Oreochromis niloticus: one gene and its partners. The protein of the gene in region 1 interacts with the protein of each later gene in a pairwise test. Links are inferred from orthologs where the notes say so. Each region holds a gene or a part of one and is shown in the gene's direction. Other genes may lie near its edges.

The links.
Region 2: the proteins of hsd17b14 (region 1) and srek1ip1 interact in binary tests that used the Homo sapiens proteins (3 or more experiments, as listed by UniProt). The two-hybrid records come from large-scale screens. The link is inferred for Oreochromis niloticus from reciprocal best matches to the Homo sapiens genes HSD17B14 and SREK1IP1.
Region 3: the proteins of hsd17b14 (region 1) and tbc1d22b interact in binary tests that used the Homo sapiens proteins (3 or more experiments, as listed by UniProt). The link is inferred for Oreochromis niloticus from reciprocal best matches to the Homo sapiens genes HSD17B14 and TBC1D22B.
Region 4: the proteins of hsd17b14 (region 1) and mpg interact in binary tests that used the Homo sapiens proteins (3 or more experiments, as listed by UniProt). The two-hybrid records come from large-scale screens. The link is inferred for Oreochromis niloticus from reciprocal best matches to the Homo sapiens genes HSD17B14 and MPG.

What each region holds. Positions count from the first base shown.
Region 1 is NC_031969.2:29,966,849-29,974,757, forward strand, and holds the start of hsd17b14 (L-fucose dehydrogenase), read left to right. Parts: upstream 1-4,908; 5' UTR 4,909-5,224; coding exon 5,225-5,306; intron 5,307-5,399; coding exon 5,400-5,438; intron 5,439-5,564; coding exon 5,565-5,662; intron 5,663-5,814; coding exon 5,815-5,881; intron 5,882-5,985; coding exon 5,986-6,077; intron 6,078-6,480; coding exon 6,481-6,585; intron 6,586-6,665; coding exon 6,666-6,733; intron 6,734-7,327; coding exon 7,328-7,424; intron 7,425-7,909. Other genes in the region: kcna7 (potassium voltage-gated channel subfamily A member 1), read right to left, coding at 1-337. UniProt on the Homo sapiens protein: Catalyzes the NAD(+)-dependent oxidation of L-fucose, yielding L-fucono-1,5-lactone, which rapidly converts spontaneously to L-fucone-1,4-lactone. Can also act on D-arabinose and L-galactose, with lower catalytic efficiency. Does not use NADPH.
Region 2 is NC_031980.2:34,249,500-34,256,766, forward strand, and holds the start of srek1ip1 (protein SREK1IP1), read left to right. Parts: upstream 1-4,261; 5' UTR 4,262-4,407; coding exon 4,408-4,420; intron 4,421-6,150; coding exon 6,151-6,198; intron 6,199-6,505; coding exon 6,506-6,658; intron 6,659-6,922; coding exon 6,923-6,998; intron 6,999-7,267. UniProt on the Homo sapiens protein: Possible splicing regulator involved in the control of cellular survival.
Region 3 is NC_031984.2:33,124,298-33,132,291, forward strand, and holds the start of tbc1d22b (TBC1 domain family member 22B), read left to right. Parts: upstream 1-4,984; 5' UTR 4,985-5,243; coding exon 5,244-5,299; intron 5,300-7,994. Other genes in the region: myt1b (myelin transcription factor 1), read right to left, coding at 612-723. UniProt on the Homo sapiens protein: May act as a GTPase-activating protein for Rab family protein(s).
Region 4 is NC_031969.2:24,448,374-24,455,458, reverse strand, and holds the start of mpg (DNA-3-methyladenine glycosylase), read left to right. Parts: upstream 1-4,067; 5' UTR 4,068-4,261; coding exon 4,262-4,531; intron 4,532-6,333; coding exon 6,334-6,538; intron 6,539-6,783; coding exon 6,784-7,085. UniProt on the Homo sapiens protein: Hydrolysis of the deoxyribose N-glycosidic bond to excise 3-methyladenine, and 7-methylguanine from the damaged DNA polymer formed by alkylation lesions.

The sequences.
Region 1 (7,909 bases):
TTCTATCCAAGAAGACTTCATTCCTCAGAGGGTCGAAGTAGCGAATTCGACGCTGGGGGTCACCCAACAGGGAGTCTGGGAACTGAGCGAGGGTGCGCAGCTGGGTCTCATAACGCATCCCTGACACGTTGATGGCCAGACGCTCCGTCAGAGCCCACTGACACCGCCGGCGGTTCTCCCTTCTGGGATGGGCCCTCGGCTCCTTGCTGCTCTCTTTCTCCAACTTGTTCTGCTTGTTTTTGGCCTGCTTATCTTCATCGCTGACCTCCTCAGCTTTCTGTTTATCTTTTGTCTCGCCTCCACCTCGATCTGTACCTCCCCCCTTATGATTGTCCATGTCTCAGCCTGGAATAGTTCCAAGTTTTTTTGTTTGTATTATTTTTTCTTTGTTCTGCAAGACGAAAAATCAAAGTTACCCTTTTCACATCATACTTCCAACAACCAGTTACAACACTGTGTATAAAAGGTGTATAACAAATAAATTCTGAGTAAAAATCTGTATTTCAGCATTTATGAGTTGATTCTTTTAGCAAATCTATTCAATTTTTATATTTTTTTTACTGTTACACTTTATTGTAACACACCAGAAAATGTTACACCTGTACACCCTTCCCTGAACTGACTTAATGGATTACATTTATATAGCGCTTTTCGAGACCCTCAAAGCGCTTTACAATTCCTCTATTCATTCACTCTCACATTCACACACTGGACTTTTTGGTTCAATCAAAATGGATTTTAAGGTGATTTTCTCCGTCTCCATAGACCATCAGAGAAACTGCTGTCAGCTCCACTTGTCTTAAAACATGCTATACAGTGTCTTTGTTTAGATTTGATTTCATACTGCATGCACAAATTCCAAGACATGCAGTTACTGTAAACCCACCTTAGTTCAGCTCCTCCTTTCACCTGCCTGCCCGGCAGCTAATGCTTCAGGCTAGTGCTTCAAACCCCAGGCGAGTGACCATGACCCTCCTGCTGTTCCTTCACCTCCATGTGCCTTCTGGGCCGACCCATCATCACACCATCCAGGCAACCCCTCCTAATTCTCCCTTGAGTCACATTTAGGAGGTGAGGGGAGGAGATAGAGGGAGTAGTGTGCTTCTTCAGGGGCTGCTGTGGTGTTAATCTGCCACCGTGGGTAAAGTTAAAATTGTTAAGCTTGTTTATAGGTCACTCACTGTCTGCGCTTGCACCCTTGCGCTGCCTCTCGCTCTCAGCATGGGGAATGCTGTTAGGCGGAAATTCAATCTTGGATTTGCTCCTTTTCCAAGAGCACGCTGCCTATTCGCCCACTTTTTCTGACCCCAACAAGCCTCCTCACTCAAAAATGTCAACCTCTTACAACCCTAAGTCTGTCTTAAACATGCTGTGCATTCTTACATACACTTGTAGCCTGATCTGTACCTGAACTAGAAAGTTTAAAAAGGAGAATAAAAAATAAAATAAGGGAGCAGTGTTTGCACCATGAACATGATTTACACTCTAGAATCATACCACAAACATTTGGTTGGTATTTATGTTTTTTCCCTCTTTTGCTGTTGCATCTTAGATATAAATTAAAACTTGCAGGTTACTGTGGTTTGTGCAGAATTATCCACAAATTGGATCAGAGCAGTGATAAATCTGTCATGAAATGTGACCACACCATTACTCACTTTATGTTAAATATAAAACTTGATTTCTGTGGTTATTTTAGACACATCTTAAATTATACACCAAAACATCTCTGAGTCTCTGGGTCTGTGTGCAGGAAGACTTTTCTTACTGTTGCCTTCAAATACTTCAAGTAATTTACAGCTCTTAAGTGTTTATTTTCACAAAGGGTTTGTAAAGTTTGCTCTTTGCATTCCAAATCTCCAAATCCAATTTTGATACTTTGAATAAGAGTAGCTGTTGCAGAGGACTGTAGGTCGGAATGTGTGGGAAAACCTGCTGGCTTGTTTACTGCAAGCTGCAGCTGAAGGCACTTGGAGATCCTGGTATTTTTGGCTCACTTTATTAAACTGTGTGAGATGTGCTGAATCCTTTACTGGCATAGTGAGTGGTATGGTAGCATGCAAGCTATGCTCTGTATAAAAAAAAATAGATGTAGCTTCCAGGTCTGAAAAGTGAAGCAAATGTGAAGCAGTGTGCCTTAAACTGTATTCTTTGTAATGGCCAGCAGGGGGCTGACGCCACAGGTTGCAGAAAGAAGCCCAATTTAAAAATAATTTGTGAGTTGGTGAGTTTATGACCTCAAATATTAGTTTAACCTTTAAGTTAATAAAGCACAATGTTCCTTAAAATTATTATTATTATTATTATTAATAATAATAATAATAATAATAATAATAATAATACAGGCTGATGTCCAAAAATCTGAATCCCTGAAAAAAATCAGGAAGTTTAAGGATTTCCAAATTTTTATTTTTAAACACAAAATGTTTTGCCATGTAAAATGAGGAAATTAGATTAAAGTTCATTTCAGCTTCTACCTTATCCACATGTTTTAAGTCACATGCCCTTCCTGAGCCAACTTCAAAGGTTTAGTGTCTCTGATTTTTACCTCCAATCGACCCAGCACCCTTTTACACGAATATGTTGACCAGTGAGGCATGAAAATGAAGAAATGAAATAATTACGTTTAAGATTAAGTATACAAAAATGAATACTTTTAACAAAAGGCCAGATCTCCTTGATCTTTAAGTGCTTTATAACTGCTAGAAACATAGCATCAGCAAGTTTAGTGGGAAGCAGGTGCTTCATACTGTCAGGTAAAGACACTACAGTATTGGAGAGAGATCCCCAACAATCAGACGATCCCATTCGTGCAAGTGCTTGATAATGGGGAGTAGGAAGAACTTCCTTTCACAGAACGAAACTAATCATGTCCAGTCTGGGGCGGATCTAGAGAAATTTTTTTTAGAGTGGCATGAGGGTGGCAAAGAAATCAAATGGGGTGGCAAAATCAAAGCCTTTTTTTCCCCAAACACATATGCAGGTGGTTACATATGGTTAAAATGATTCAAATGCAGTAAGTATACACGTTTTTCATATAAATATAGTCTATAACTTAATTATTGTCTGTAGCCCACATAATTACACACTTTAGTTACATAAAACATGTGAGTTTTGATATTATGTACTGTATAGCCTGTATAATAAATAAATATGTAGCCCAACAAGTATAAAATCCAGAAAGTTGCACAACATGGGGCGGTTCATTTACAAACACAAGTCTAACTTAAGTTTCACACTGTTTTTTGTTAGAAAACAATCACATTGTTACAGCTTAAATTACACAAAATGTCAGAAATCTGCACTGTCATGAACAAAAATTTAAACCTAATTTTTCATGATTTGTTGGATTAACCCACTGAGGTCTGAAATACAACCGGGCATTTTTGACTCCTTTTGAGTTTACGTTTGTATTTCACCCTCAGATTGTTTCATTTTATTTTTCCCCCTTGCCTTGTTTGGGATCATTCTTTTCAGCTCAACTGAATTTAGTTGTTTTTTTCACTGACATACTGCATTAGTATTACTGATCTGAAATCACACAAAGAACTTAAAATCCTAGTAGTATTTTTTTACTGAAAAAAAAAAACCACAGACATGTTGAGTAAATTTTTATAACTTGAAATGCAAATATAAATTGTACATTTTGTAAACATATCCAACTATTTATCTAAAAATGCAGCCAATACACCTGCCGTTGCTTTCATTTTGTACAACCATTTAAAAATATACTAAAACTAAAATGAGAGAACAATCAGGTGTTGCAATAAGATGCCCCACAAATGATGTGTGCCAGTAAAAAAAAAGTTTGTCCACCAAAAGACAGATGAGAACAGCACAGGGATAAACCTGCAGGCCTGACAACAGCAGGTGTATCACTCCGCTGGTTTTCTACTTAGTGACAGTGTTTACATTGCAAATGTGCCTTTGTGACATTCATTAGTGCCCTCACTGACACACACAACAAAACGACTGCACAACAGAACAGCTACACAAGACAACACAACACACTAACTGTACACTCCACACTAAACGTCACAAATCTCCCACATCTAAAAACTCTCTCACTCGCTCGCTCTGTCTCGCTGCCGTTACCGTCACTCTAAAAACTCTCCCCTCTCCCTAAACAACCAAATCCCACGTGTTGACTTTTTTAAAAATTGGTTGACATGGTACATTTTTCCACCGATAGGCTTCTTTTCCTTTCTTTACTGTTTTCGCGCTTTCCTTAGAAAACACTTAAAATACACACAGCACACATAAAAAACGTGACGACAGTATTTAGAAAAAAGCATGGATTATATATATTATCATAACTCTGGATTTACTGGCCTGTAATTAAAATTTAAAAACTTTGAAGTCCGAACTTTCAATGTGGGCTGAAACAGAGACTCAGCGTGGCTGCAGCTTGTTGCTATGTCAGCTTAACATAGTCATGTGATTTGGAGGTGCAGCGTGTCCGTGGACCACAGAGGGTTAATAACACTCATCTTCCTTCCATTTCCATAGTGTAACATCCAACCACCTGTGTAAAATCCGAAATTCCCGTGGTGTTGTTCAAAATGTGCTCTGGCACAATCATAAACATCGCTTGCTACTGATAACAAGAAAAAAGCTGGTCCTGCTGTGGGCTGAACCATTTGTTAATGGTAGAGGGGAGGAACACTATGCAATATATTCAGTTTTATTCACTGTTGACTGTAACTACGCTCAAACTGTTAATGCTATCTTATTTTAATAAACAACACTGTCATATGCAAAACTGGGGTGGCAAAGGATCATTTTAGGGTGGCACTTGCCACCCCATGCCACCCTTCTAGATCCGCCCCTGTGTCCAGAGTGATGATTTCTAAGGAAGCTGACATCAGCTTAGGGCGGCTAAGTTATTGGCACCCAAGCACAGATGTCCAGACACAGTTGAAGTAAAAAGGATATTATTATAAAAGTTCAAGAACCCTCTCTAGAGCTAGTTTTCTTGTGAATGTATGGATTTCCTACTATCCCCTATGCTCCTGAATGCAGCAAAGCAAACCGCATGATTTTGTGGTACTTTGAACTTTACAAACATGCTGACAGCGGCTGATCGTTTCTGCTGGCGGCGAAGACACAGAGGAGTCCTGCTGTAATAACTCCGAGCAGAGAAAGTAAGAACTAACCGTTATTAGTCCGCTGTTTGACAGCAGCGCCGCTTTGCGTCACATTTATCATCGTAATCGCAGACAAAATGTCCCTCCGCTACCACAACAAAGTGGCTGTTGTCACGGGAGGATCCAAAGGGATTGGCAGAGGGATTGTCAGAGTGTTTGGTATGAAAATGTCTTTATTTATGCTGGCAGTTTGCGCATGCAGCGAGGAGTGGCGCACTGAACATTTCTGCGACTTTTTTTTTTCTTTTATAGTGGAAAACGGAGCCAAAGTGGCGTTTTGTGCAAGAGAAAGTTAGTAAGGCTGTTTTTATTCTGCTGCTTTTTAAAACAGTTACACGAATTCACTTTTGCCAGCATATATGAAAAGAAAAATAATGGAGTGCAAGTTTTTGCGGCATGATCAGACGTGTCTCGTAGGTGCAGCAGGTGAAGCTTTAGAGACGGAGCTTAACAAGACCGGACCAGGCTCGTGCAAGTTTGTCAAAAGTGACATCTCCAAGGAAGAAGACATAAAGGTGAAGTACAGCTTTGTGGGTGTAAGGTCTGAAATGGACAGAGTCACATGATCACATGATGATCACATGATGATCACATGAGCTCAGAGAGTGACTCGGGCAGCCACTGCTGATGTGTGCTTGTCATTTGTTGGTTTCTCTTGTCTGTGCAGAGACTGATTGCAGTCACAGTGGAGCAGTTTGGTCACATCGACTGCCTGGTCAACAACGCAGGCTGGCGTGAGTCACACATGCATTTTTTGTCTGTTTTTCACCTCCAAGCAGATATGACGTCATGGCCGTCCTGCTTACTTTCCTTCTTTGTGTGAAATCTTCCTCTTCAGACCCTCCTCATAAACCCACCGATGACACCACAGCGGAGGAGTTCAGAGACTTGTTGAATCTGAACCTCGTCAGCTACTTTTTGGCGTCTAAAGTAAATTTTCACAGCTTTGCGTGCAAGTATATTCTGTCTTCTGTGGAAACAAAGACAGGACATAAAGATTAAAGTGATACATTTAAACACTGATGAATGAAATAAATAACAAATAACTTTATTATGAAAAGACAAGCGGGGAAACAATACAGGAAAAAAATGTTTTCAGTGGTCTTAAAAGTACACGATCATATCCTTAACATGGAATCTACCTCCTTTGATATCAGGATTCCAGGATTTCCAGGTTCTTGCATTGACTGATTGATTTTAGCCAACGCCAGTCTGACTAACTAATAACCCATAAACCCGTCATACCTTTCATTTCTGTTTGAGCTCTTGGAGTAATCGAAACATTATGTATAGAGGATCTTTGCACCACCTGAAAGTCTCGCTCTCTCTGCAGTATGTGTTACCGTACCTACGAGAGCGCCAAGGAAACATCATCAATATTTCCAGTCTTGTGGGAACTATCGGTCAGAAAGATGCTGCACCGTATGTTGCCACAAAGGTGAGCTTCTTTCCTCATTTCCTAAATTTCAGCCCCCTGCCCAATAGAAGAGTACTGTAATGTGATGTCTTCTCCACAAGGGGGCGATCATTTCCATGACAAAGGCAATGGCAGTGGATGAGAGCCGCTACAATGTGAGAGTCAACTGGTGAGGCAAACTGGCATCTGAAAAAAAAGTTTTCTAGGGAGAAAATATATTTTTAATTTCCAGATTAATTAATTGGATTTCACTTTAATCACAAGAATAAGATATAAAAATGTGTTGAGTCACAGGCTCCCCCGCCCCCAATTCATGAATTGCATCATGCAATTAATGATGCAATTAATGAATGCATCATTGATTGCCGAACTGAACTACGGCTTCAAGAGTCAAATCCAGTCCTCACAATCCTGAGTGTCCTTGTGGCTGTGGAGCAGCCGATGTTACACATTTATTTCTTTATATAAGGAGATATGTGCGAGTGTGCTGGTTACAAGGCTAAAATGAATACTAAATAATTTTGGATATAAGGAAAGAAATTAAATTAATTGATTACTAAGATAACAAACAACTATAATTAAGCATTAACTGGAGGTAAAAGACAGAACTACAGTGAAATAAAAAATGTGATTCTGATAAATAAAAAGAATTCAGGTGTGAAATAAAAACTGAATGTGTAGAGATTCTACAAGTATTTCATTTCCTTTATTTTAATAATTATGCATTTCTTTGTCTGATCAGAGTGTCTGGCTTTTGTTGCAGCATTTCACCAGGTAACGTGATAACACCTCTGTGGGAGGAACTAGCAGCACAGACACCAGACACTGCCGCTACCATTAAAATGGGGGAAAATGCTCAGGTACGTTCAGGAAGGCGTTCAGAAGCCATGTAGATTATGGGTGCTGGTTAGTAGTGAGGAGCTGAGTTATGCAAAGTCATTCATGAAAAGTTATGAAAAATGAACCGTGCCATCATCACATTGGATCAGGGCAGCGAATGCCTCTGGCGTTGTTGGTCAGCAGGCTGCTGGTGGAAAGTGTGCTACTATTGGCTCAAAACAATGGAAGGGGAGAGGGGGAAGGTGTGTTAGGAGGTGGCGTGAGAGAAGGAAAGGCAGGAGTGTGGCGGTCAGAGATAGGGACTTACATGTGAGGAGCTAGCTGATATGAAGGAGAGAAGGAGGCGGATATTTTTCAGAGCCAGTGTCAGACAGGTTAATGAGTTTGAAGCTGGAAATCGTAGAGGTAATGTTGAATGTTGTCAGTGTGAACGCCGTGTAGGTTGGATGTCAGTTAGAAGAGATGGAGGAAGCTAGATAAAGTGCTAGATTTAGTCCCCAGGAAG
Region 2 (7,267 bases), on another chromosome or scaffold:
TTTACACCTACAGGCCAGTGGACACTCTTTCAATGATGAGGATGTACACATCCTGGACAGGGAAGAACGCTGGTTTGAGCGCGGAGTCAAGGAGGCCATTTACGTGAAAAGGGAAAGACCATCTCTGAATCGAGGAGGGGGCCTAAGGGTACATCTTTCGCCATCTTACAATGCTGTGATTGCAGCCATTCCCCAACTCTCTGTGAATGGTACTCATGGCCATTGATCAGTGGTCTTTGATCAGTGGGTTTTGGTCAGTGATTGTTGATCAATGGTCATGGGAATTTGCATAATTATGATTAAGGAACTGACCTCACAGCCCATTGTTCCTTCAGTGGGCTGGTTTCAGTCATTATGCAAATGGACTGTTTATAAGGGTTGGGGAAACCTGCAGTCAGCTGAGACTGAAGAAGTCACTTGGATGAGTGACGAAACGTTTCTCCCACAAAACGCTACGTCCAGATGAACAGATTCAACTTTTGGAGAATAAAATATAAGATTTCCTATTTTCCTATTTAGTCTAAATACATAAACTGTTCAATCCTTTCAGTTTCTCATTAAAAACTTCATGCTTGCCCACACTCTCAGAATAACCATTTGGCAAGATGGTAAAAATACCTTTGAATGGATGTATTTTTCCCAGTTGGCTGCGGTCGTGAGGTCTCAGAATCTGCTCTGTGAGCAAAAGAGTGACAAGATCACGGAATCAATGGCTAATAACATCATGGAGAAACTCGCAGCTATCCAACGGGAGATTGAGAGACCAGTGTCGGAGTGTTAAAAACAGGTTGAAATTCTCATGAGTTGTTTGCAAAAAGAAAAATCACCATCATAATGCGGCTACCCCTTCGGCGCCAGCTGTGGGCTCAAGGCTGGAGCTGAACAAAAACTTCCTGATAACGACTGTGTTGAGTCTGTTCCTTCACATTCCATACAAGGCCACCTGGGTTGGCTGGAAGACTGTTTACTTAGCCTGGCAGGGCGAAGGACACTGTCTCAGCACTCACTGACGCATCACCCTCCCTACCCAACGCCACCTCCAACGCTTACCTCCCCTCTGATGTGGACATCGGGTCAGTTGGAGGCGCAGTCGAAGATTGCAGCGGTCCCAGATCAGATGTACACACTGGAACACTTTCCCATGTTGCTTGTCTGTGTTTATTGTGTTATGGTGTGTTGATATCTGTGCATTCCTGTATTATCCTTTTGTGTTACATATTTCGATGTTTTTTTCCTCGCTACCTGGCCTGACCTGTCTCCCCAATGTGATGTTTGTATTGTATGTACGGTCGGCAAGGTCTGTCATCTCGGTTGTGGGCAAAAGACTTGCAACTGACAAATAAAGGCTATCTCATCTCTCATCTCTCATCTCTCATCATCACAAATAAAGGAGTATGACTTTTGAATACCTGAACAGGGCCTTCCTTACATCTGTGATCAGAAGTTTACCTACAGTCATCACAGGCTTGGTAATTTTGGGCTTTTAATTAATTCTTTGAACTGTTCTTTTTCCAGGGTGAATAAAAATTATGTGCAGAAATTCACAAATTTGAATTTATTTTGGCATCTTTCTAATCTACAGTATACATACAGCATACAGGCTAAACTATATATAGACTCACCTAAATCTTATAATAAGTGATGTTGGAGGTTCTATGATGTTTTTTAACTTGACATTTATCTTATCTTGACCAGCTAATTTCTTGTTAGTTGGTACAAGTTATATGACTGTGTGAGTCCACAATGATGGGAGGTATGTTTGGACGAGTAAAGGCAAGGCTTTCAAACCTAAGATCACTGTACCAACTGTCAAGCAGATTAACATTAAGCCTCTGGAACGGCTCAACCTCAACCCTATTGAAAACAACACTTAAACGTTGGGTCTCTACCAGGAAAACAATCAATTTAAATGAACTCTACCAATTCTTCCAGGAAAAGTGGTCAAATATCCAGTCAGAATTATGAAAGAAGCTTGTGGATATTCTTTGGGGCCTTTTAGTTAGGGCCTTTAGGGCCTTTTAGAGAATATGCTTCACTTCTGATTCAATGGTCTTCTCCAATTCTAAAACAAAAGGCAGAGTCCTGGGTAGTTATCCCCTTGTGGGGTTCGTCCCCTTTAGAGATGGTCCTGAGAGTCATTGACCCCATGTGAGCCAATGTGTGAAAAAATGGGTGGGTTGTCACCATCAGTAGGGGTTAATGGTGAAACCACTTTGAGAGGTTCACCCAAATTATCATGTGACCTATTGAGGTCATCTGAGACGTGGTATGAATTGAAGCACCTGGGAAGCGATCCCTGGTTGTGGTAACGACCCACACCTTTTTTCACACAAGTACCCATATGATGACTCACATGATCAATAGAGGGTCAACGACCCTCAGGACCACCTCCAAAGAGGACAAACCCCACTAGAGTTAAATACCTGGTACTCTACATCTTTTGTTTTAGAACAAAGAAGACTCTTGGATGAGAGGTGAAATGTCTTCACAAAACCTAAAGAAGTCCAGTTGCCTTCTTTTTTCAATCTCCTAAGAGTACCATGAACTGGATGACTGAGAACCTACGCAGACAAGCTTGTTGATGGCTATCGAAAATGTCTAGTCAAATGTAACTTGCTAAGAGATATTAAATCAAATAATAGTAGGGGTGTATGCATATTTTACCCCTGCGTGTATACTTTCGATCCTATGTGTAATAGAGAAAACACATTCATCCCCATGGTGATTGTATGTAAACTTTTGACCACAAGTGTAATCTAGTTTCCCCAAAAAGAATTCCCGTTTTATCACTACAGGACATTTTCCAGTTTTAGTAGGAGAACTGCAGTATTACACACCTACAGTATATTGTGTTTTTCAGCTCGCCCTTCTCATCTTGCCTCAGTACTTGTTGAATTTGGTGATAAAGGGATTTAAAAGTCTTTCGAACAGGTTAATGTACATATTCGGGTCTCAATATTGCCTACTGTATGCATTTAATGCTTATTTGTTAATGGTATACTTCAAAATCCCCCCCCAACACACACACACACACACACACACACACACACATACCAAAGAAGATGTTTCTATGTATTCTATGTATGTATTTGCTAATTCAATCTGACATGTAATCAACATTTAAAGGACCGGGGAATTTTTAGCCACAACCCAACTGAAAATAGCGTGAAGTTAAATGGGGCAAATTCATTTCCAGCTTTCCTGTATTCATTTTGGAAATCCTTCACTGCCTTTTGTTTTATTGGCTCTCTTCATCTGTGGTTTTCATTTGTGTTGTTGTTGGAAACCTATAGAAGCTAAATCCAGGTGGTCAGAAATGCTAAATAGTAACTAATTTGAGGTTGAAAATTACATAATACGAAGTTGTTTTTAGGAGTCTCTAAAATCTGTTTTATTTCCTTTAGTTTATGATTAAGCTGATTTGACTTGGGTCATGCAGTTCATGGATCATAATTTCTGCTAGTTGTACTGTAACACCTTGGCAGTTTGGGGGCTCATTTCATAGTATTTTTAGCATTTATAGTTTTATTTTAGTTATTTTATTTGCTTTAAATATCTTGCTTTTGTCTATATTTTCTCTGGAGCCACGTGTGCATGTGTGTGTGTGTGTGTGTGTTTTTTTTTTTATTTCCTGCAAGACCATAATAAAAAAAACTAATAATAATAAAAATGAGGTGCAAAAGTTCTTTGACCGTGCTGAACTTCAGAGCTGTGAGGCATCATATGTGTAGTTGGAAAGAACCTCATTTAGATATTAAAGAAGGTAAATCACATCATTAAAACTAGCCCACGCTAAAGCATGTGGCATCATCAAAAGATCAGGACTGAGATTGTTTTCGTGTATGTGTGTCCGCGCATTTGTGTCACAGCCACAGACATGATGATGAGAGCATGTCTGGGGGCCATGCATCTGTCAACATTTTCCATCTGCCAGTCCGACTCTAGCTGCCTGCAATTAACCCCTTACAAAAACCACAGCTGACTTTACTGGCAAAGCAGTCATGCATGGTACAAATATTTCAGGGTTTTTTTCTTATAGCGTCACCAGGGTCTGACGATGGCAGATTCTTCATAGTTTATATAAGTGTAAACATTGGAGACAATAGAACATTATATTTAGATTATTCACTTTTCTATGTTTTGTTTTTTTCACAAGAAATCCTTGTGAAAATATGTCACACAGTCTGCTGCGCCAACTCCTTTCCATCGGGCGGCGATAATGCGCCACTAGTTTGGTTTTCCTGCCGTCAGTAGGGGAAAAAAACGCGAACAAAAGCAGGGGGAACGCGGTAGTTTCTAGAACAAGTGTTTCCTGTCGACGTTATTTGGTGTGAGGACGCTGTTGGCTGATTCGCGCTATAACAACAATAAGTTTTGCTGTTTGGGGGCTTTATTTTGGACACAGTGATGGCTGTACCAGGTGGGAATTATATTTCAAATGTGTAACTTACTTAACTTCGCAGTTTCTATTGTATTATTCATGTAGGTTTCGCTGGAATGGTAAGAGCTGACAGGGTAACTAATGCATTGGTAACACAAAGTGGGGCTTACGTTTACGCTAGCTTAATGTATTTTTAAAAACACAGACCCTTTGATGTGAAGTCTGTGCAATGACTAACCCAGCGAGAAACTTGGCTACGTTTAGCACACGTGGTTACATGACGGGTGATGTACAAATTGGCGTAAAGCAGAGTACTTGTAAATGTCCAGATACTCCATATAAACAGTCATGGATTCGATTTTAGTACTTTTTGTTAGGATTAACTCTTGTAAGTAGCATTAGGCTTATCACCTTTTTGGTTGAGTAGAGAGAGTAAAATAATAATAATAATGATAATGATAATTATAGCAATAAATCACACAACATATACACTCAATTAGTCACTTTATCAGGTACATCTGTTACCCTTGTTGCTTTTTAAAGTAAATAATCAATCAGCTAATCACGTAGCAATAAGCTGGTGCATTTAGTCAGGTCGACATGGTTAAGGTGAGCTGCTTAAATTCAAACCGAATATCAGAATGAGGGGAAAGGTGATTTTGAGTCTGCTGTGGTTGTTAGTGTCCGATGAGCTGGTCAAAGTATTTAAAGTCGGTAAACTCAGACTAAACAATCTATGGGGTTTTGAATGGAATGAAGAAGAGATCATATCCAGTGAGTGGCAGTTCTGTGTAAAATGCCTTATTAATGCCAGAGGTTAGAGGAGAATGGCCAGATGATCTGGAGCTGATGGGAAAGGAACAGCTATTCAATCAAGGTATGCAGGAGAGCATCTCTGAACGCACATGTGAACGTACATTTTGAACCCTGACACAGAAGAGCCCACAGCAGCAGAAAACCACACAGGTGAAAACTGGACAGTAGCTGATTTGAAAAAATGTTGCCTGGTCTGATGTCACTGCAGCTGTCAGATGGTAGGATCAAAATTTGGCATAATCAACTTGAAAACATGGATCCATACTGCCCTGTATCAGCAGTGCAGACTGCTTATGGTAGTGTCATGGTGTGGGTGATATTTCTTTGGTACACTTTGGGCCCCTTTGTAATCCAACAGCCTACCTGAATATCATTTTTAACCATCCACCCCTTGATGTCCAAAGTGTGCCCTCCTCCTGATAGCTGCTTCCAGCACTAGAATGCGCCATAACTCTCAAATAATGTCAAGCTAGTTTCTTGAAGATGAAAATGAGTTTTCAAATGGCCTCCATAGTCAGCTGATCTCAATCCAGTAGGACACCCTTAGGAGATTCACGGCACAAATGTTCAGCCGACAAGTCTGCAGTAACTGTGTGAAGCTATCATGTCAATCTGGATCAAAACCTCTGAGGAATGTTTGCAGCACCTTGTTGAAGCTTTGCCATAAAGAATTAAGACGGGTCTGAAGGCACAACGCAGTCCAGCCCTGCACTAGCAAGGTGTACTTAATAAAGCAGCTTTGAGTGTATACCTACTGTATGTTTTGGGTGCTTAAAAGTCAGAGTAGGGGCTCATTCTTTATCACCCTTTCAGCACTTTATATAGAGCTCAACCAGTATGTTCATCTTGTAAAGGCATATGCATTTAATTACAGGTTTACATAGTAAAGTAGTTGGTGAATGTGAATGCATACTTGCATGTAAATCATTAAAAAGCTCTTAACAATCTTACAGGACCTAATAAGGACAACATCAGAGCTGGGTGCAAGAAATGTGGCTATCGTAAGTAAAACTAACCATTATTTACTACAAGCTTCAGAGATGTGTGGATGTTATACTGTTATGCTTGATATGCTCCCATATTTACTCAGTGAAAAAAGATTTATAGATTTATACAGTTGGGATGGAGTCTGTTTTATGGTGCCTCTTACCCAGCCTTTGAGCCAGATTTATTTTGGAAGTAAATTGTAATTATGTTATTTATTTATTTTTTGACTTATTCACATTTCCTCTTATGAGTTTCAAGGTTGAGGTTCAGAGATGTTAATAAAAAGTGTCCTCACCGCTCTTTCTGACTTTCATCTTTCAGCGGGCCATTTAACATTTGAGTGCCGAAATTTTGTTAAAGTGGACCCTCATAAGGACATTGTTCTGGATGTGAGCAGCACCAGCAGCGAGGAGAGCGAAGATGACGAATCTCAGGTTCAACGCAGCGAGAAGCGAAGCGGGCAGCATCAAAAAGGTCAGATTTGATTAACCTGCCCTTGATTACTGTAAGCTTTTAAAATATGCATTCATTTACTGCAAGGCAATTTGCAATAAATATAGCAGTTTTACATAATTCAGCATCCAGTCAACATCAATACAAGCTGGAGCTTGAGTAAAATCCAAAGTGTGGATTTTTGCAATTGGACAGCAGTTATTTTATTAGCTCTTTATCTTTATTTATTTATTTTTGATGAGGCCTCTTAGTTATGAGATTAAAGGTGCTGCTTTTGCGTGGTAGGTTCCCATGACAGCGATGATGATAGAAAAAGAAGACGAAAACGGAAGAAGAGCAAAGAGAGAAAGTCAAGAAAGAGGTAACCTAAATATTTTTCTGATGGCCCAATCTACTTGTTTGCACATGTTCATCTTATATGAGTTGATGTATTAAGATAGAGCTATGACAGTGTTGTAACATACTTGTACTCCACTGCAGTCATCCTTGTATTTATAGTACCTGAGTATTTACTTGCACTATTTGCACAAGTCAGACTCGGTATATATTTATTACCTTTGAAGCTTATTCGCCTGCTTTTCTGAAATGAAAGTGTGTTTACCTTCATAGATAAACTGAGTTGTTTGATTT
Region 3 (7,994 bases), on another chromosome or scaffold:
GTAAAACTAAAATCACCTTTTGATATATCAGTTGACCAATTTGACTTTACTTTTGTTATCTAAAGGGTTAAAGCTATAGATAACAAAGAGCTGAAAGAAACTGGAAAGTTCCCAAATGGTTGTCCCTGTGAGCAAAAAGTGCAAAGGACCTCATGGAAATGTGTTTAAAGTTGAAAGCTGAAATTTTCAAAAGGACAGCCATGAAAATAAAAGAGTAGTACCCACCGAAGCAGGCATTGTGAAATTGTTAGCATGCAAAAATCCTTTTTGCACTTTGGGCTTTTAGTTCAAAATCAAGACAGACATAAAAGAGGCTCATCTCTTTATTTCTTTCTTTGCATGTCTTACATTTTTACTCCTAGCATACTTATGGGTCCAATTATTAATTAGATAAACACTTTTTAATTTGAACAATCCTTGCCCCTTTTATTATTTATGGATCATGGGATGTATCAGCATTTTTAGTGAGGGACTTGTGATCTGTCCAGCGTATACCCTCCAAACCCTCAAATGTAAGCACCAGATGATGTGCACATAAATAGTTTGTGCAGACTAAGCTCTCCACACACAGCACTCATACAGACTTCCTCATCGTGAGCGAGCCATCTTACCTTTCTCAACGAATTCGCAATCCTTCATGGCCCAGTCACAGTCAGAGTGTGTAAGCACAGCTGTTGATGACCTCTTGACCTTGAGATGAAGAATTCCAGTATACATCACCATGTGCCTGAAGAGGATACGCAAACATTTAATGCTTCTGTATGCACATTTTCACAGTACATTTAATTGTGAGCTTTGAAGCCAAAGCATGCTAAAAAGTTGGGGAGGTTTTCCCTTTCTTTTATTCACATCTGGCTAGTGCCTTTTACAGTAAAAAGTATAAAATAGTAGATGATTACCATAGAACTATTTTGAGCAATGTTGACATAAGTAACAGGAAAGAAAAAAAAAAAAAAAACTTACCTCCACTGAATAAGCTCCAACTCAAAAGTTCAAAACTGTTTTCAAGACTTCTTGACCTCTTATATTGGTCAATATCTTCTTGCTCAAACAGTTCAGAAAACTTTAAAAATAACTGTTAGCTGAACACTGCGCCACGGTGACAGGACAACAGAAAGAAAAAAAGTTCCTCTTTTCTTAAGAATGCTGTCGGAGTGGTTTTGTTGCCACTTGAGCATGCAGGAAGAGAAAAAGTCACAATGCTGTCCTTTCAGGGGTTAGAGGGAAAGCAAAAAAAGGGGAGGGGGGTCACACAAGCCAAAATATGGCTGAGGGCTTAAACTCCACTGAGCATGTGTCATACATTTATTTTGAAAAACCACTTATCTTCAATGTACTGTTCAGGAAAATGCATGCCATTAAAGATGAACTATTTAGAACTAAAATATGTATTTACAGCAGACGAGTCAAAACATGCCTTCATCTAGAAGTAATTCAATAAATAGGCACGGTTTCCTGACAGCAGGAAGATCAAAGTAATAGCAGAGAGTCATTGTGCCCCAGGCAACTCCAGCAGTCCCTCACACAGCTCCCTATTGTCCTGCCTTGTGACTACAAGTGCATCCCCTCTCAGCCTGCTCCTCTCATGCTGCTGTTTTCTTCAGTGAGATGGCCACACCAAGCAAAATCCAGTAGCCAAAAGTCACAAGACTGCCTTGAGAGAAAATTCCAAACAGTCTCTAAAAATAGTTATCTTCAGAAAATGTTTCAATGGAGTTTTCTTCAATCCCAGTGATATGAAATCCACAGCACACACTTGTTCCCCGCAAATATTAACTCTCACCTGGATTTTGTCAGTTGAAGTCCGTTGAACGCTTGAAGAGGAGTGAACAGGTGGGTGGGTGCTGCAGTGATTTCCCTAAACAAACAGACAAAGGAGAGCACCTGCAATTCAAATACAAGGCCAACATGTAAAACGAAACCAATTCATGTCCCAAAACCTTTATTTGCCTGTATTTGAATGCAGCCAACAGAGGCCAAGATGCTCTATAGAATACCAAATAAGATGATTTGAGTCAATTTGCTTCTTTTTTTCAGGAAAAGCATGACTATGTCCCCACTCTGTGGTCAGGTATCTGTTGTTGATAACACCACAGAATAAGCAGCATAAAAGGATAATTCACTTTTCAAACATTTCCAGTAAATAGGTAGTAGTTGAACTGGTTTCGTTTTGAGCAAAGCTCTTTAAGTGGAGCAGAAGATGTCTGCCCCCATGTGGATGGAGACTGTAGATGCAGCAACTGGGGGAAAAAAGAGAAGTATTACTTAGCATGAAGTTGCATGAAGTGAGGGTCAACAATCAGAGGAAGCATTTTGATTTGCATGACAGTTTGTGGCTTGAAGAGCTTGCAGTTGCTCCAGTAAGCTACTTGCCTCTGATCAGCCTGATGTACGTCTGTTAATTAACCAAAGGATAGCGGTTTTGTTTCCATTTCCACATTCTTCAACTTTATGTCACAAGGTCATCCAACAAGAGGTTAGCCACTGACACAAAATTGCTGATCTTTTAAATTCTAAGAGGACTTATTTTGTTTCAGACAAAAGGTCTAACTGGACTTATATTACTTACTGGACTTAGTACTTATATAGCACTTTTGTTGTTGTACACTCACAAACCTGTCAAATCTGCATTTGAAACGTTGGCTACCATAGCAGTATAGTATTGCAACATGGCATTTGAGTCTTCTAACTAAAATAGGAAAATATGAACATATATAGTGCCATCATTGCCAGACCTGGCCCACATCTGGTTGACATACACCCTGCCATGACACCACTCAGTCAGAAGTGCCAGCTTGATGCTGGATCCAGGGAAGACCTGTTTTCTATGGGCCTGGGCCATATCCACCAAACCACAATCGAGCCAGATATGGCATGCCATCACATAGACAGTGCCATCTATGCCAGGCCTGGCCCATATCTGGATGACATACATCTTATCATGCCAGAAGTCAGCCAGAAGCGCCGACTTGAGACCAGATCCGGGCCAGACCTGCTTGCTATGTGAGTAAGCATTCAGGGCATGTCCCACCGGGAGGAGGCCCCGGGACCAGCCAAGGAGACGCTGGAGAGATTATATCTCTCGGCTGGCTTGGGAACGCCATGGTGTTCCCCCAGACAAGCTGGAGGAGGTGGCTGGGGAGAGGGAGATCTGGGCTTCTCTGCTTAGGCTGCTGCCCCCGGTTTACCTAAAACACGCTTTATTAACTTTCCTACACTGAATGATCAGAAAGCAGATAAAATATCAAAGGCACTGGTGCTTGTTTCTGTTAAACTTGTGTGATTCTGCAACTGAAACGAAGCAAAATCCTGTGATATTCATGCTAAATCTCTGGCTATAGAAAAAAGTGGTTCTAAACAACAACGAGACTTTGGTTTTAGGTTGTGACAGTTAGAGTTAGTATAAAAATGACTTGGTTGCAGCTTAAATGTGCTTAAATTTAATGTTGTTATTTCTTCCTTAAGAGGTTATAACAGGTCAAATATGCTGGGAAAATGGTGACTTGAAAACTTAAACCCATCCATGTGCTTTGAAGGCCGGAAACTCTGGAAATGTTCAAAATATTTATATTTATTTACTACACAAAAATAATCAGCAAATTAAGATAAGAAGTTCAATCAATTTGATTGATTTTATAAGGAATGACCCACAATTTTATCACTTTATAGTCTTCTTCTTGCCTCACCATCAGCTTCTCTTCTCCGGTTGCAACAATAAATTGGAAAAAGACTTAAGCTTCAGGATCAGATCCATTTGCACATGCACTTTCAAGAGCCTTTTTTTCTTTCAAAGTGGTTTAGGAATGTCTTGATCCTCAATCGTCCAGATAAGAAATTCCCAGAAAGTTGATTGTGTTTATCTGGATGCAGCATTTTAAGGAATTTACTACACTAAAGCCAACCTTGAAGAAATTTTCCCAAATCACTCCTAAAGTGCTCACTCTTCCCGAGCAATACACATACATTTTTATGTTATCCTGAGCTCTCTGAAGTCTTTGGCATTTCCTGAAAATCACACGCTTTTTACACCTCTGGAGTGTCTTCTCTTGTAGGCATGTTAAAGGCTGAACCTTTCAGGATAGTTATCAGGTTGGCCTAAAAACTCCTTGAAAAGCCTTCAGTTGGTCCAACATGCTACAGCAAAGAGTATTGACTGGGACTAGGAATAGTCCAGGATTGCATTTAAAATTCTGCTACTCGCATTCAAGGGCTTGAATAATCAGGCCCCATCTTATCTTAAAGACTTCATAGCACTGTATCACTCCAATACAGCGCTTGACTTTCAGACTGCAGGCTCACGTGTATGCAAGGACATTTAAAAGTAGACCAGGAGACAGAGCCTTCAGGCCATTTTCTGTGGAACCAGCTTCCAGTTTGGATTCGGGATACAGACACTATCTCTGCCTTTAAGATTAGGTTTAAAACTTTCCTTATTGATAAAGCATATACTTAGGGTTGGATCAGGTGACCTTAGCCCTCGGGGGCTTCACATGATGCACTGGGTGTTTCTTCTTCACCCACCTTTTATCACATGTGTTTATACAACCACACTCCATTTAATCATTAGTTTACTATTCATCTCTGGCTTTCCCAGTGTGTCTTCCCTGAGCCTGGTATCATCTGTAGGGAGTCATCTGAATGTTTATGGTTTCTCTGTAGTATTGTAAGATCTTTACCTTACAATACAAAGCACCACGAGGCGACTGTTGTTTGGATTTGGTGGTATATAAACCAAAATGAATTGAAATGAAATGACCTTGTCTCAGTTGCTCTGCTTAAGTGGTTAAACCAAACACATCACTATGCAGGCGTCAACAGAGGCTGGAGTCCCAACAAAGACTGCATTAGAATGGTGTTTGAGGTCGACACCAAACTTTCCCCTACCAGCATCCAGTGTCAACGAATCACGTCGTTGTGCCTGTTTATCCGTGAGCATCACTCACCGTCGCTCGACCGCGAGCTCGTCCGATTGGCTGCTTTCGCTGCACCTGTTAGACTCTGGCACCAATCACGCGCTCCTGTCGGTGCGCCCCAAGATGGCGCCTTACAGTGTGCTGTAGTGTACATCATCACACTAGAAAGCGAATATCACTATCACTCGACCGTTTAAACTCATGAGGAGGCCGCGCAGAGAGAGCCGAGCGGGGCCGAGCTGTCGCCAGTGAAACGCGGAAGCGTTTGCCGCATGGTTTCTTCACGAGAGCAGCCGGTTTTGGTGTCGGTCTGACGGGGGTTATCTGAGTATGGCCACCGACAACAGGATCAATTTTTGGAGGAGAAACGCAAAGGTTCCTGGAAGGTAGGTCCTCTTTTCTTCATAAAGTAGTACTACATTTCTTACTGAGTTTCAAACGGGCACTGTTGAAATATTGTCGATAACAAAGACACAAATTAATAATACTCTTTTGTTCCATGGATTAACTCGTAACTAACAGATCTGTGTGGAAACACGAGCGCACAATTCAACTGTTTCGCTGGATTTCACGCGTGAGCCGCTTCCAGTGTCTCATTCGAGTGTGTGTTGTTATAACAGCTCCCAGCTCAGAGGCAGAGCCCCATCTCTTTCTTCTCTGCGGTTTCTAACGATCACACTGGAGGTGGCAGCTGTCTGTCAACCGCCATATGCTTTCTCAGTCTATGCTGAGAGGTGCTGGTGACAGTACAGTAAAACGATCAAAAACATCGGGGAGGAAGAATGCACTGTCTGAACCACTGGCACGGCACTAATATCTTATTTTGTCATCTCAGTGGGTTTTCTTGGAGGAGTCACAGGAGCAGAAGTTAAATGAAACGCATCCTCGTTTTATGGCAGCATTACTTAGAGAATGGGGAGGACACAGTAAAGACATTACTGTATACAAATGAAATGTGTATATAGTAAAGATTATGTTACAAGAGTGGGGAGAATCATAATTTTAATAAAGTGCACAGTAGAAAGCCTTTGTGTTTAAAGTGTCGTGTAAATAGATATTTAAAAAGTTTCTACTCATTGCACTGCCAAAAAAAGAATAAATAAAAAAAAGTACATCTTTCAGACACTGACTTCTAAGCACACAAGAAAAAATGCAGGGCCCTCGACCCCATAGACTGATGGGGGCTCTATCCACCTGTTGGGAGCATTTTGGTGATGATCACTGCAAACGGAAACTAAGGGGGAGAAACATTGCACTTTGGGAATGCTGATTTTGGGATTAAAACCTTTTCTTGGGGGGAAACGCTTACAAAGTTTTTAGCAGTTTTTAACGGTGATTCTATATGTACAGGGATTTAAAAGAAACTCCTCAAATAAGTGTCACAAAGTGAGGACAGGCAGCACGATGGCTGCAAAGAACGACTTTGCTTTAATCAATAAAAAGAAAACTCAAAATGCTGTTCTCGGTGATCACCATTATCCTGTAGTGTAACATCTTAATAACATGCTAATAAGGGGTAGGGGTGCACCGAATGGGTTTGTAAGTGTTTCATTCTTAACAGATTCTAAACTGTGTACTGAATAGTTGGCAAGTGTTTGCAAACCAGTTGGTGTCATCCATGGGGCAGTCTGCTAGTAATCACAAGGTCTTTGATGCAGTGATGTATACCTTTTGGGAGCAGTTTCGGCTAGCGACTGGCAACAGGTTGGAGAATAGTCATTTTTCCCTAGTAACTGGTGGTTGCCAGCCAGTCACCAGCTGATATGTAGGTAAGGCCCAGTCACACAGGTCTAACCTCATTTGATAAAAGTGAATATCTGATTAAATTATATATAATGCCTGTCAGGGTGAACACTTTAATATTAAGCACCTAAATTGGAGAGTTTTTGGCATTATAGTGTGTCTGTATTTGTATTTCATTGTGGGATATTTATGCCGGTATAATGGTCTGAGTGTGTATACTTAAATATTCGCCTGAATATAGAATGCATCTGCTGTATTATTGGGTACAGTTTAATAATTCTTGGAATCAGTGAAAATACCATATTTTGCCATACTTAACAGTATGCTAGTGTTTAATTTTGGATGCAGCCTATGCCAAGACACATTGAAACTGTTCTGATGGCAGGTAGGGACCGAGCACATTATTGAGGCACTTTTTTTATCTTTAATTTGTTACCCACGTGTGCATTATTTTGTCTATAAAGCACTGCAAGACAACAGAAAAATAACAGAACTGTTTTTGCGGATGTTTCATTTCCTGCTGCAAACTTCATTTGGAGTTTGTTTATTAGTCTCTAAGCTAAATATAATGGGAGACACATACTTGAGCTAGGCTAGTTCCAGCATGCAGAGCTTACGCAATAGGCATCATGGGCATGGCTAATAAAGGGGAGAGTCCCTGCTTTCCTTTGTTTTTTGTTTAGTTTTTTTGTTGTTGTTTTTTTAGTTATTTATGTGCGCAAGTGGAAGCTAAAAATCCCTCACGCCTTACTGATACGACAAGACACTTCTTCATGTTTAAGCGTTTGTATTTTTATTGACCTTGGTGTTTTTTTTTATGACCATCAAGACTGATAATCCGATTGAATGACCTTTCCTGGTACCATCTAACTGCCAGAGGGTGGAGCAGAGAAAAGAAGTGGGTGGAGGTTGGGGGGGGGTCAGCCTGTTATCGAAATCTGACAACACGGGATCTCCAAGGAGAGGGCGGTGCTGTCTTTGTCACACACTCTGATCTGGGGTGGGTGGATCGTTAGAAACGCAAACATATGTTTGAACAGGAAGGCTAGCAGCTAGTCTTGCTGCCTGTCCTTGAGCTGCTCCTGATAAAACAAGTGTGAGGCTGGTAAACAAGACACTCTGGCACTGCCAGATAATCAGCAGGCTCAGTTCTCAGCCTTAGGCTTGAAAAGCTGCAGTTTGACAAACTCCATATTATTTGCAACCCTGTGATATTCTCACAAAACCCACTCAGTTACTTAGAATAATTGCATTATCATGACTAATGGATAATATTATGAAAAACTAGAGATATTACATTTTTTTAAAAGTATTATCATAGTATTTTCATGTCTGAAT
Region 4 (7,085 bases), about 5.5 Mb from region 1:
TTCAATCAATAAACCAAACAGCTCGAAGTTTTTGTCTGTTGATTAGCTAATAAAAAACACTGTCTTCAAACTGTCATGGGCTCTCATGTTATTAAGTTGAGTCATACAAATAATGAGCTCTACCTGTTGAATGTCTCTGTGGGAATTTTGGGAAAAACTGACAACATCTTATGTGTGATTTAGATAAACAAAGAGAACCTTTGAACTATTTACAGTGATTAGCTAACCTGTGGTTAAGCCTATTTAAGCCGCAGTGGTTATGTTTTAAACTCTACATGTGAGTTCAGAGATGTGGAAAGAGACAAACCTGTTTCTTTATAAACGTCTCTTTGTTGTGCAAGGTGTATGAACTGGGTGTCAGATGACGTGATCCTCTTGCTTCCATCTCCTGATGAGAGCTCAGCCACCTGTACAGCACACACACGCCACACCTCTGCAGCAAACAAGAAAGGAGGTGCATGAATCATTAATTGCTGGCAATTAATAATTAATCCCATCACACTGAGGATGCAAATACTACCTACCACCTAATGGCTCTTGTAGTACTGGTAAGAATACCCTCCAGTCATGTGGAGTTATTGCTCTGGTAAAGAAGGTTAATCATCACATAAATTAATGAAGTTAAATGTCCTATTGGAAGTATCTTTATTGTGAAACTTTATCTATTGACATAAAGCTTGTTCTGAAGAAGAGAAATGATGTTAAGAGGTCTATTAAAAATGCACAATGTCCACATTTTTTTAATAACCATGGTTAAAAGGCTCTCTGAAAACGAACTCAGACTAACTCCCCGTGAAATGGAATGAGCAACACTAAGCACTAAAATCTCTTTCAAATTAATTGCTGGCTTTTTATGGCGCTTGGATGTTGATTATATCATGCAGGCAATACAAATTTAAACACAGACCAAGACCAGACGTAATCTCAGCAATGCCAATAATAGTTTGTTGTGTTTATTTACACCAACAAACATCATGGCTGTCTCTTTTTAAATCATGACTCTCATATAATACCGACATGGTGTTACGTCTCAAACAGATACTTAATATAGACTAGAATCTGTCTTTATTGTCATACATATACCATGCAGTACAACACAATTTGGTTTGGAGCTCTGCAGAAGTTCAATGATTAAGTTAAATATATATATATATATATATATATATATATATATATATACATATATATGAATAGTAATAAAAAATCCAAAAGAATAACAATCATCATGCAATAGTACAATGTAGTATACATATAAAACTTATAATGCATGAGATTCTGTCTGTCCACATTATTACCGCCCCGATGACAGAAAATATTATTTTTAATATTTTTAAATATTTTTATTTAAGACTTCAAATTATATTTTGGAATTTTCTTTAAAAGCATAATAGTTTTTCAGGGAAATTATTTTAATTAAACTACGTAATGGTCTGAGTTTGGCAATGGTGCTACTGACATTCATACCTAAGATATCGTATAAACATTACTCAAAAATAGAGATATAAATTTAGCTAGTTTTTTTAGACATCCATTTGATGTAATGTGTTTAGAGAGACAGTTATAAACTAAATGTAGTAATGCCAAACTGCTATTGCATACATCCACAGACCATTTTATTAGGTATACCTATTTGGCTGCATGTTATGCAGATACCTAATCAGTCAATCACATGGCAGCAACTCGATGCATTTAGGCATGTAGACATGGTCGTGACAACCTGGTGAAGTTCAAGGATAGAGCATCAGAAGTGGAAAGTAATGTGATTAAAGTGACTTCGAATGCAGGATAGCTGTTGGTGCCAAACAGGCTGGTCTGAATATTTCAGGAGCTGGTGATCTACTAGGATTTTCCTGCACAAAAATCTACTGGATTATTTTTTTTTTTTAATAACCACTTGTTTCAACCAAGGTATGCAGAAGAGCATCTCTGAATTCACAGAATGCCAACTCATGAAATGGATAAACAACAGCAAGGGACGACAAGACAGGGAGGTCACTCCTGTCAGCTAAAAATAGGACCAGGTTTCTGGTCTGATGAGTCTCAATTTTTCTGTGACATTTGGATGTCACAAAAAATCAGAAAGTCAGAATTTGGTGTAAACAGCATGAAATGTATTCACCTTGCGCTGTATCAACAGTTCAGGCTGCTGCTGGTGATGGTGTAACGGTGTTAAAGCAGCCTACCTAAATATTACTGCTAACCATGTCCCTCCCTTGTGACCACAGTATACACATCTTTCAGCATGACAACAAGCCGTGTCACAAAGCTCAAATCATCTCATCTTGGACATGACAGTGAGTTCCCTTCACGCCACACGTCTCCACAGTCACCAGGTTTCAATCCAATAAAGCACCTTTGGAATGTAGTGGAATAGGAAATTTGCATCATGAATTTGCAGCTGAAAAATTTGCGCCAAATCTGTAATAATATCACAAAGCTGCTAAACCAAAATCTCAGAGGAACAATTCCAGCACTTTGTTGAATCTGTGCCACTACAAATTGAGGCAGATATGAAAGCATAAGAGTTAACCCAGTACTAAAAAAGGTGTACCTAATAAAGAGTCCACTGAGTGTCACTTTAAAATAAGTTTACCATTCCCTTAATTAAACACAAATACACTGAATACTGCACATGAAACCCAAAAGATCAATTGCTTTTTTTCATAGGATTCTCTGAGTCATCGTGTAGTAAGGCATTTTTAGTCCGGCGGCATTCTGCTCGTCCATCTGCACACACAGCCCAGTCTCTGGTGTTCCTGCTCAGCGTCACGATCGCTGAGGTGGCTGCTGGAATTGACAGTGATCCAGAATGTGGCTGCTATGATTATCAGTGGCAGCAACAATGAAAGCTGCTCGGCCCAAACCGCACAAGCACTGCTGACGGGCAGTAGCAACACAGTCACAGCAAACAATGGTCTTCTCTGGCCCACCAGCCATGACAAAGTCAACAAGCCATTCCAGGAGACTTCTACTGAACATGCTCAGCAGATTTCTGTCTGGAATGTATTCTGGCTCAATAAGTCACTTGAGGTTTCCATTAGAAGCCCTTGGATGAACACGGTGATCACAGTGTAGTTTCTTGAGGAAACCTGGAAATCAAACCTCAAGAGGTTCAACATTAAATTATTGCTTGATCAGCATAAAAAGGAGACAAGAGAAAGTACAGGATATGATACTGAATGACTAGCCATGCAAATTTGTCCCGGTCATCTGTTTTTGTGCAATGCCACACAGAATCTATGACCAAATGAGGAAGATGACACTTTTGTGCTTATTTTCCTCTTTCACATGTATAAATAAAAGTCGAAACTCAACATGGAGACGGGCACAAATGTAAAAGTGTGAAGACAAAAAAGAAAGGTACATCAAGTCCATCTTTATTATCTTTATTAGTTGACTTGCAGTTCATTCCTTTCATCTGCATCATAATAGGCTGATTCCTTTTTACAGCCAGAGATTTGCCTCCATAGTAGCAAAAAAGCAAACTTGTATTTCCCTGCTGAAGTTGTGGTCTGTGGCATGACCACGTCACATACTGTTAGTCTTCCAGAAAGCCGCATGGGCTCAAAGCGCCTGGGGCCAAACTGGCGCCGTCAACTTCCTGGGCACAGGCAGTGGAGAGCACGCAGAGCGGTTCTATTTATAACCTCTTATTATCCAAATGAGACTGAAAAGATAAGGCAGCAGCAGGAAAAGGGCACAGGTTGTCAGGTAGTCTTTCGGCAAAGTGGCTGCTGTGCTGAAGAGTGAAATTCATAATGCACTGTAAAGTCATTTTGTGAGAAAACGATGGACATTTGTTCTTAGAGGCAGTCTTATTACCATAGAATTGCTCCATAATGAACAGTCAGTGGCTGGCTTAAACATTTTCAGCTCAAAAAGAGAAGAAAACTGCATTCATGATTTTTTCCATTCAATCTTTGCAAAACATGTTTATTTTCACCTGTTCTTAACCATAAATATTTTTTTTCTTCCACAACTGAAATATAAAATAATATAGATGGGAAAATAAAATCTTTTTAGGAGAAAGCCTTGAAGGTTAACTTCTCCTACTGCCTCCAAGGAGTGCGCGGTCCCTTTAAGAGATACCAAAACAATTATATTCACTTCCGGTATGCTACTACGTGAACGGCTTTCACAAGATTATTTGTATTGTGAATTAAATGCTGAATATTGAATAAACGTATTGTTGGGTTTATAAATACACGCCGTCCTACATGTGTTTTTTAAAAATTTGTAGACCTTCTGAATTTACGATAAGATGATGGCAGCCCGAAAAAGAAAGATGCTAGCGCTGTCGGCGGCAGCATCTAAACAAACCGTGTCGTCAAATAAACACAACAAGCAGACGGAGCTGAAGCCAGAGGACTCACAAACCGCGCTTAAGAAGCAGCCCACTCAGTGCGAAAATGCCCAGAGTGCTGAGGCGGAGCGAAGCCGTTATTTTACCAAGAATGAGCAGCAGCACAGGCTAGGAGAGGACTTCTTCAAGCAGCCCTGCATCAGTTTAGCTAAAGCCTTCCTCGGCAAGGTAGGCTGATTTCTCACCTGAATTTAACACCTTTGTATGTAAATGTGTCTGTGTGTTTAAAAGTCAGGAGGCACAAAATGTAGGGAAGAAAATGTAGTTTAGTTTAAAGTTGTTGTTGTTTTGTTTTTGTTTTTGTTTTTTTACTTTAACTTCACCTTTCAATTTATATCTTAGTAACTGGCTTCTATACTTTTGAATGAGCCCCTGATAAACTTACTTTCCGTGATTGTATTTAAGTTGTTAAGCACTGTTTCCCATTTTTAACGCTAACTGTTGCTTATTTGTTTATTTAAACACACATGCTTCTTCAAAAACACAAAGTCTGCTAACTTCAGAGATATTAATCTGTCCATAAACCATTGTGTATTTATTTTACCTAGTTTACCCTTTTTAGTGCAAATGAAATTGACAACAGGTGTAGTGGAGAGGCAAAAACAACAGTCTCCCAAAAAGAGAATGATTTATCAGGTTTTGCTCTTTCCTTATTCAGCCTAACTGATTTTATTTCTAGTTTTGTCACTAATACCTGCGGACCATTCAGGCTGCAAAGGTAGTCCACCTCTTCCATGATGGCACATACAAGCCTTTGGAAGGTTTATTGTGTCTACCAGCAAAATCTCTATAGTGTAAATGTATATATTTCTGTGCAACCTGTCAGAAACACCCTCCATGAGGGTGGCACAACATACTTCAGTAGACCTTCCATCACACCCCAGAACTGTACAGTTGTGAGCAGAACTTGCAGGTCCACCACTGAAACCCTGTTCTCCTTACAATCGAGAGCAAGTTTGCATTGAGCACATGTTATTGATATGAAATAGCCTGGAGATACTGTGGGGAACATTATGCTGCCTGTAGCATCTTCCAGCATGAAGGTTTGGCAGTAGGTAATAGCAATATCTTTGCAGGTTACGAGCACATCACGGTCCCTGCAGAAATCCTCAGACCCCTTGTCCTTATGTTGGCGCAGTGCGCCCTAGTTTCACTTGGTGCAGGACAATGCTCCAGTCTCATGTGACCAGAAGTGTATGCAGTTCCTGGGTATTGAAGACATTAATGCCATCGGCTTGCCCTTGTGTTCCCCAGAACTGATTCAAACTGAGAATCTCTGGGATCTTATGGTGCATCCAAAGGTGGCAGTTAGCACCACAGACTTTTTCAGGACCTCATTGATACCCTGATCCTGGTCTTGGGGGAGATCCACCAGGACACCACGCACACTATCATTAGGAGCATGCCCACACATTGTTGGGAGTGTGTACTGGGTTATGCAGAATACTGAGCCACATTGTGATACAAGTTGTGACTCAATTTTAATTTCTAACTTTGTCTTTGGCTGTGATTTTTTTTTTAAATCTAGCTTTCCTTTCATTATTTTTAGTTTCATTATTTTATTCCCAACAAGTATAAATCAATAAAGATTTTGAGCTGGAATATTTCATTAATCAAGATTCATGAAAGTGTGATTGAGGTGTAGTTTTTTTTTTTTTTTTTTTTTTTTTTAGCAGCAAAACTGGCATGCTTGCAAGCATGGATTTTCTTTGATCGTTCATTGTACACCTCATGAAAATATGTCCACACTCAGTTTTTGAAGCAAAAGGAATATTTGGCTTAACAGAACAGATACTTATTATTTTGCTTTCATAGGACTTTTGTCACGACATTTAAAATAGACATTTGTTGTGGTTTTGATTGTCAGAGTTGTCTTTTGTAGGTAGCATCCTTCAGCTAAATGACAAATCTATGTAACCCACTATCCTATGGAAATAGAGAAAGAATCTTGCTGTCCCTTGTTCCTGCAGGTGCTGGTCCACAGGTGTGCAGATGGTACGGAGTTGCGAGGAAGAATAGTGGAAACTGAAGCTTACCTTGGAGGGGAGGACAAGGCCTCACACTCGGCAGGAGGCAAACGCACCGAGAGAAACACAGCCATGTTTATGAAGCCTGGCACAATCTACGTGTATCCAATCTATGGCATCTACCTATGCATGAACGTGTCTAGTGAAGGTAAATGCTATACCCACCAAAGGTGCAATATGTTGTGTACATTATGTCATTCATTTTGTGTACATTCATATATTTATTATTATTAACAATGGATGTGAAAAGGCCAGTTTTGATCCGTCTTCACTATTACAACATTAAACATAAACAGCAGTTCATGGCTTCAATAGTTGCTGTTTAAAGGGTAAAAGGAAGGAGACAGAATGGAGCCTTGCTGACTGATGCATATTGTGTGCTGTGTTGCTCAGGGGAGGGTGCTGCTGTGTTGCTGCGCTCACTCGAGCCCCTACAGGGTGAGGCCGTCATGAGGCAGCTGAGGGCAGCCAGACGCAAAGAGGGAGCCCGTCAGCTGAAGGACAAAGAGCTCTGCAATGGGCCTTCAAAGCTCTGCCAGGCTCTAAATATACCCCGATGTTTTGACCGTCGAGACTTAGCCTCAGACCCAGAAGTGTGGCTGGAGAATGATCCCGACACAAGTCCGGCAAAACCCCAAGACATCGTATCAGCACCACGCATCGGAATAGAGTCCCACGGGGAATGGGCCAAGAAG